2 linked regions of the Macaca fascicularis genome follow. The protein of the gene in region 1 interacts with the protein of each later gene in a pairwise test. Links are inferred from orthologs where the notes say so. Each region holds a gene or a part of one and is shown on either strand. Other genes may lie near its edges.

Region 1 (3,647 bases):
GGATAATGTTTACAAAACATCAATATGATCATATCAGTAGCCTGCTTGAAACCTGCGGATGATTTCAAGTTGCACTTAGAGTGAAATCCAGTATTCTAATGCTCTCTGTATCTGGCCCTTGCTTGACTCTCCAGCTTCATATTTTACTCCTCTATCACCCTCATTCACTCTGCTACACTAGCCTTCTAGTCATTTCCTCAAGCTGCCAGTTCTTTTTTGCTGTAGGACAGAGCTGTTCAATGGAACATTCTACGAAGATGGAAGTACTCTATATCTATACTGTTTAGTTTGCTCCTGCTAGCCCCATGTTGCTATCGGGCACTTGAAATGTAGCTAATGCAACTGAGAAGCTGATTTTTAATTTTAATTATGGTGAATGTAAATAGCCACACATGGGTAGTGTATTGGACAATGCACTTCTGGTGCTTTTGAGTGTGCTCTTCTCTCTGCCTGGGAGTACTCTCTCTCTCTCTCTTTTTTTTCTTTTTTTTTTTTTTTGAGATAGAGTCTTGCTCTGTCGCCCAGGCTGAAGTGCAGTGGCGCGACCTTGGCTTACTGCAAGCTCCGCCTTCCAGGTTCACGCCATTCTCCTGCCTCAGCCTCTTGAGTAGCTGGGACTACAGGCGCCCGCCACCACGCCCTGGTTAATTTTTTGTATTTTTAGTAGAGATGGGATTTCACTGTGTTAGCCAGAATGGTCTCGATCTCCTGACGTCGTGATCTGCCTGCCTCGGCCTCCCAAAGTGCTAGGATTACAGGCATGAGCTACCGTGCCGGGTCCTGCCTGGGAGTACTGTCTTACTCCCCCTGGCTAACTGCTACTCATCCATCAGATTTCAATTTGTTGCTTCTTCAAGGAGGCCTTCCCTGCCTCACCAATCTAAACCAGAAAATCTCATGTTGTTCTGTCTCATAGCCCCAGTACCTTTCCTATATAGTATGTAATAATAGTGAGTTTTTTCATTTTTCTGATTTAGCAGTTTGACTCCCCACTTAAGAGCATGGATCATATCTGATTTGTTCACCATATCTGATTTGTTCACCATTGTGTAATCAGTTTCCAGGGCAGTGCCTGGCACTTAGGAGAGGAGTTCAGTAACTCCCTCAAATGAATGCACTTTTTGAAACACTGTCTGCATTTTTAGAGTATCACAGTTCTTGGAAAAAGTTTACAGAGTGATTTTTTTATCTAGTCACAGTGACACTCTGAAAGGTATCTCCCAGAATATGTACTCTCTAGGGGCTTGTAGAAGGGACACAGGACCTGTATTCAGGTGTCTGTCTTTGGGAAGTTCTAGGTGTTATTATATACCTAGGACCTTCCAGTATTGTAGAATAGGTTTTTTTTTAGAGTGTATCTCCCATTATCTAATTGGTCATATGTAATCTTAGACCTAAGTTCTCCAGATGATTAATTAATTATATCTTCTCAAATAGCATAGTGCCTAATACACAGTAGTTCCTTGAAGGCTAATTGATAATGCTTTTCCTTTTTATTTTTTTTAAGACATTTATTCAGCATCACGATCAGACTATTACATTTGGCAATCAACAGCATGGCTGCAAAAAAAAAAATCTGCATTAAAACCCTTTGTTGGAATGCTTTACACTTTCCACAGAACAGAAACTAAAATAACCTATTATACAATTAATCACAAATACAGTCCTCGAGTTTTTTGCCCATACACATGAGTATTTGTGTAAAATATGTCTGCTTTGTAGCAGTTAGGCCCTGCCACCACTGTGCTTGGCTAAATTCACAAATCTGTTGTAACCTGTAGCCTCCCTGTCACTTCTCTGGCTCCCCCTCCAGCTAAGCTTTATTTCCTAATTAAAATCTTCTGCCATTGCCATAGCTACTGCTGCTACTGGAACCACCATAGCCACCTTGGTTTCGTGGTTTGGCAAAGTATTAGTCTCTACCACCATAGGGGCCCAGAGCTTCGGCCTCCAAAGTTTCCTCCCTTCATGGGTCTTGTAATTGCCAAAATCACTGTAGCTTCCACCACCTCCAGAATTGCTTCCATCATTACCAAATCCATTATAGCCATCCCCACTGCCGCTTATCCACCACCACCACAGCTGTCATCTCAACTGAAACCACCTCCACGACCACCAGCAAAGTTTCCAGAACCACTTCGACTTCTTTGGCTGGATGAAGCACTAGCCATCTCTTACTTTGACAGGGCTCTCCTAACTTCACAGTTGTGGCCATTCATAGGGTGTTATTTCTGAATGACAGTCTTATTCACAGAGTCATGGTCATCAAAGGTTACAAAGGCAAAGCCCCTTTTCTTGCCACTGGCTCAGTCAGTCATGATTTCAATCACTTCAATTTTTCCAAACTGTTAAAAAATCTCTTAGGTGATGTTCTTCAGTGTCTTCTTTAATGCTGCCAACAAATACCTTTTTCACAGTTAAGTGGGCACCTGGTCTTTTGAGAATCTTCTTTTGAGACAGCTCTCTTTGGTTCCATGACTCTTCCATCCACCTTGTGAGGCCTTGCATTCATGGCTGCATCCACCTTCTCCACAGTGGCCAATGTGACAAACCCAAAGCCCCTGAGCGCTTGGTGTTTGGATCTCTCATTACCACACAGTCCATGAGCATTCCCCATTGCTCAGAATGACTCCTTAGGCTCTCATTGGTTATTTCAAAGCTCAACCCTCCAATGAAGAGCTTCCTCCGCTGTTCGGGCTCTTTTGGAGACTCTGACTTAGACCTGAGGGCAGGGAGAAGACAGACTTTAAAGATACTACTTTGGCAGCATCCACGGGCAGAAAGGCGATAATGCTTTTGAAAACAGCAACTAATGATGTTAGAAAAGCTCCTGCTTCAGAGGCTTGGATGAACAATTTGAGGGGTGAGCCTGGAGATCATTAGATAACAATTATGACTAAAAATTATTTCAAGAGCTGATTGTCAATAAGGCAACAGATTCCCCCACCTACCTTCCCTAAAGTTAGAGAGATGACCAGAGGCAATTCAGGAATGGGGAAAATTCTGAAACGAAGGCCAATATGTGACTAGTGATTTATTACGTACTGTTTATCATTCATATGTGTGTGTGTGTGTGTGTGTGTGTGTGTGTGTGTGTGTATAACCCAAATTGACTATAATTCTTTTCCTGGTCTGTTAGCTGTGTCTGAAAAAAATGTTTTCCCAAGAGCCTAGCTGTTTCTGGAAGATGGGAAATAATGGTGATGGGCAATGGGAAAGCAGGAAGGAGAAAGTGAACGTGGTTACTTTTTGAGATGGTGAGCTAATTGGAAAACTAGGATCCACGGTGTGTAATTACACATTTACAGGTGGATTCTGAAGAGCCAGTCTTTGAGGCTGTCATCAACTGGGTGAAGCATGCCAAGAAAGAGCGGGAAGAATCCTTGCCTAACCTGCTACAGTATGTGCGTATGCCCCTGCTGACCCCCAGGTATATCACGGATGTAATAGATGCTGAGGTAAGTGGTGCAACACTCTCAGGATCCAAAACCTTGACAAACTCTTACCTTAGTGTTCTGTATTCAAAACTGATTATTTTAACGTAGGCACAGAGTCTCCTGGTTTGCCTGTCTAGGAATGCCAGTGAGAGTGGTGCTGGGTAGTTCCCAAGCATATTTCTAAGAAAAGTGAATTTCTTGGCAGACTCT
Region 2 (4,196 bases), on another chromosome or scaffold:
CGAGCAAGAGGGAATTCTGGCAGCAGCTGGTCTTTGGACTTGAACTGCAACATTGGCTTTTCCTGGTTCCACCCTTCAGAGTTTGGACTTACTGGCCTACACAATTACACGAGCCAATTCCTTACAATAGATCTGGTTCTCTCAGTGTACACATCCTGGGTTCTGTTTCTGTGGAGAACCCTGACTAATAGAGGTACCATATGTCTTCCTTCCACCCTGCCCACAACTTAGTACCGTGCCTTTATTGTACACTCCTCTAATTATGTAACGCGAGCCCTGCAGTTTCCCGCCAGCTCTGTATGCCTTCTGCAGGCCAGCACGACGGCTGCAAGCCTCCCTGGAGGCTGCCCAGGCACCCGCCTCTTGGAAGCTAGGCCCTGACGACTGCTGGGTGTTCCTGCCTCTGTGGCATCCCCCGTCTATTGGGCCCTGTGAATTCAGAATTGTTTGTTGACTTGAAGCCAGAACAAGGTATTCCTATCCTTCCCACTTTCAGGGTAAGAGGTGTGAACCTCCAGTGTAGCAGATTCATTTCTCTCTGGTTTGTGGCCAAGTCAGAGCCATTTCCTAATGCCAAAAACAGAGACTGGACTTTTCTCTGTCTGTGGGAGATTTTACAACCCAGTCCTATTTCAAAGAGAAGACTGAGGCCAGGAGTGTCTTACCCGGAGTTGCCTGGTGAGTCAGCAGCCAGGAAACCAGGACCCCTTTGACAGTTTATGCTTTATGACCAGGTGCCCTTGTTCTCATTCATGGAGATTGATGACAATTTCTGCTCTTCTCCCAGTGACCTGCACAGTGATGCCAAGTCAGCCATTCTGCTCTGCCTCCTGGGGTCTGAACTGTGTTCTCCAGCAGGGATGGGGGATGCATGAAGCTGCACCCACTGCTTGGCCTAGAGAGAGCTGCTGGACCCCACTGACCACCAGGGGACAAGATGGGGATCTCACTGTGCACTCAGGCCACAACACCTGTGACTTAGGGGAGGGATTTTGGTCCTCACAGTCAGTGAAGTGGGCACACAGGTGGGGAAACATGGGTCTGACACCTGCTGGAGGCCACACAGCAGCATGTGGTTGGCAGGGCTGAGAGTTGCACCCAGGGCTGGGCACTATCAATTGCCTTTGACGGACATGGATTGGTCCCTAGAGGAAGCAGAGCCAGGGCAGCTGCAGCCCCAGCGGTCATAGCGCTGGGGTTGGGGAAACCTCGTGTGTGTCAGTGTGACTAGGAGGCGGTGAAGAATGCACTCCCTTCTGCATGCCCATAGGAGAAGCTCAAGGAGAGGCATACTTGGGAGGAGCCATGGGATGAAGCTGGAATGCTGGGGGTGGAGCCTGGAGAGCTTGGAGCCCTCATAAGACCTGACAGCCAGGAGAGGGCACATTTCAGGGACACCATGGAGGGTGGCTTCACTGGGGGTGATGAGTACCAGAAGCACTTCCTGCCCAGGGACTACTTGGCCACTTACTACAGCTTCGATGGCAGCCCCTCACCCGAGGCTGAGATACTGAAGTTTAACTTGGAATGTCTCCACAAGACCTTCGGCCCTGGTGAGCAGAGGGTGACCCTTCCCCTTGAGCCTCTCTCCAAGGAATCTGGATAGGGATGGGGATAAGGTGTCCTGGGGGCAGTCTGGTCTCCTCTAGGGGTTTTTGGGGGCGGGCTGAGGGAGCTGCTGGGGCCCTGCCCCTCTCTTTGGGCAGCTATTATACTGGAAGTTGGGTCTGTCTCCCCACGGCTCAGGAGCTGTGTGCCAGCTGAGGGATCAGGACCTATGGGAAGAGCACAGCCCCGTGCAGTTCCCACACTGCTCTCCATTAGCCCCTAGGTCTTTGGGGTGGAGCAGAAAAGGCTCTCCAGGTCATCATCAAGTTCAGTCCTAACCTTGCACAGCCAGGCCTCTGGGGCCCCCAGAAGGCCAAGGGCAAACAGCAGAGTTGTAGTGGGTCGGGATCGCCTATGCCCAGAGTGTGCAGCCCAGATGTGTCTGTGATGAGGACCTGGAAAAGCCCTGCCCTGGGACAAGGATTGCTAGGTGGGGTCTCAACCCTGTTGCAAACCTGACAGCAAGGCGCTCAGGCCCCAAGGACCTCAACTGAGCCATCTGTGCAATTGATGGCGACTTCTGCCTGTCTCCCAATGATCATTGCCCTCCCCACGGTGACCCCATGATTTGGTCACGTCTTCTAAACTCAAGCAGCCATGTCCTCACTTTGGGCACTTGACTGCGGAACAATAAGGGTGAGTCTCCTGGTGGTCTGGGGGTTAAGAGGGGGTTAAAAGACTGCTGAGCCTGGAGGAGCAGGCTGGTGCGGGAGGCAGAAATCAGAGAATAGCTGGACTGGGTGTGACCAAGCTTGGAAGGCCAAGTGATGGCCCCACGCCAGGGCTCCAGACAGAATGTTGGAAGTCATGCTTCATTCCAGCTTCCAGGTGACCCTGGATTCACTCCTGGGGCCATCTTCCCAGATCATCTCCTCAGCCCCGGCTTCCTATTCCTGCATGCTTACACCCCTCCCCACTCCAAGGAACAAGGAACCCATCCAGGAAGGGCCGGACTTCCAGGGGAGGCTCCCAGCTTCCAGTCAGCCTGAAACTTAAAGAGCCACTGCCCCCAGCATGTCCCCTCTGAACCCTCCAGCCCGAATCTTCCCCAGAGCAGGGCTTGGGCCTCTGTTCTCTGTCCCAGAAATATTATACTCTTGGCTTATGTTCTTGATGGAAAGATATTGGGCTAATTGTTTAACCTTTTTCAGACTCAGTTTTCTAATCTGTAAAATGAAAATAGTGATAGTAGTCAGTACACAGGGTAGTTCTGAGGTGTAAGTGGAAATTAATGCATATAAAATATTTGGTATGAGGCTTGGCTTACAGGGAACCGCCAATCCGTGATAACCACCATGCTTGGTGCTGTTTGCCCCTTGGGTAAGACCAGGATGTGTGTCCTCATCCCTGTGTCTGCCTTGGGTCTCGTTTCTCTTACCCGTCCATTACCAGTCTTTCCCTCCCACAGGAGGCCTTCAAGGGGACACACTGATCGACATTGGCTCAGGCCCTACCATCTACCAAGTTCTCGCTGCCTGTGAGTCCTTCCGAGACATCACTCTCTCCGACTTTACTGACCGCAACCGGGAGGAGCTGGAAAAGTGGCTGAAGAAGGAGCCGGGGGCCTATGACTGGACCCCGGTGGTGAAATTCGCCTGTGAGCTGGAAGGAAACAGGTAGCGGTGCAGAGGTTGTGGAGGGGGTTCCCAGTCAACCTTCTTTCTCAGAAGTCTCCCTGGCCTCTTGTTTGTCTCTGGCATTTTCAGGACAGTAGGACCTATAGGTACAGGACCAGATGTCCTATGGTGGGGACAGAGTAGATGGGGCCCCAAGTTTCAGGATTACAGCAGTTTTAGGTGCAAGTATCTGATCACAGGACTATGTTGAGGTGTGATATAATCAAGTATGAACACTGAAAACCAGATGATAGAACCTTTCCTTCCTTCTTCTCTTCCTTCCTTACCCTCATCTATATATCTACCTATCTATCTTCTATGTATCTAACTATCCATCCATCCATCCACCCACCGGTCCATCCATCCATCCATCCATCCATCCATCCATCCATCCATCCATCCATATTCATGCATCCACCCACCCATCCATATCCATCCATCCATCCGCCCATCCATATTCATACATCCACCCACCCATCCATATCCATCCATCCATCCACCCATCCATCCATTCACCCATCCATTCATCCATCCAGCCAGCCATTCACCCATCCATTCATCCAGCCAGCCAGCCATTCACCCATCCATCCATCTATCCATCTGTCCATTCATCCATCCATCAATATTCATCCATCCACCCACCCATCCATTCATCCATCCATAGCCATCAATCCATCCATCTATCCATCCATCCATTCATATCCATCCATCCATCCATCCATCCGTCCATCCATCCACCCATCCATCCATCTATCCATGTCCCTCCATGTTCATCCAGCTACCCACCCATCCATCCATCTTTCCTTCTTCCCTCTATTGTCTGTACCTGTGTGACTATATAATGCAGTGACATGAACCCACCACCCAACCTGAGTACTCGGATATAATAAAGACTTCTGTGCTTCTCTGTGACTCCTTGCCCCTGCCTTTCCTAACCCGAGGTAGTAACTAATATGAATTTTATGCTTATCA

What was found. The genes of interacting proteins can lie anywhere in the genome.
Region 2: the proteins of KLHL12 (region 1) and INMT interact in binary tests that used the Homo sapiens proteins (3 or more experiments, as listed by UniProt). The two-hybrid records come from large-scale screens. The link is inferred for Macaca fascicularis from reciprocal best matches to the Homo sapiens genes KLHL12 and INMT.

The regions. Positions count from the first base shown.
Region 1 is NC_088375.1:60,664,773-60,668,419, reverse strand, and holds part of KLHL12 (kelch-like protein 12), read left to right. Parts: intron 1-3,308; coding exon 3,309-3,458; intron 3,459-3,647. UniProt on the Homo sapiens protein: Substrate-specific adapter of a BCR (BTB-CUL3-RBX1) E3 ubiquitin ligase complex that acts as a negative regulator of Wnt signaling pathway and ER-Golgi transport.
Region 2 is NC_088377.1:99,545,622-99,549,817, reverse strand, and holds the start of INMT (indolethylamine N-methyltransferase), read left to right. Parts: upstream 1-1,383; 5' UTR 1,384-1,399; coding exon 1,400-1,553; intron 1,554-3,016; coding exon 3,017-3,224; intron 3,225-4,196. UniProt on the Homo sapiens protein: Functions as a thioether S-methyltransferase and is active with a variety of thioethers and the corresponding selenium and tellurium compounds, including 3-methylthiopropionaldehyde, dimethyl selenide, dimethyl telluride, 2-methylthioethylamine, 2-methylthioethanol, methyl-n-propyl sulfide and diethyl sulfide.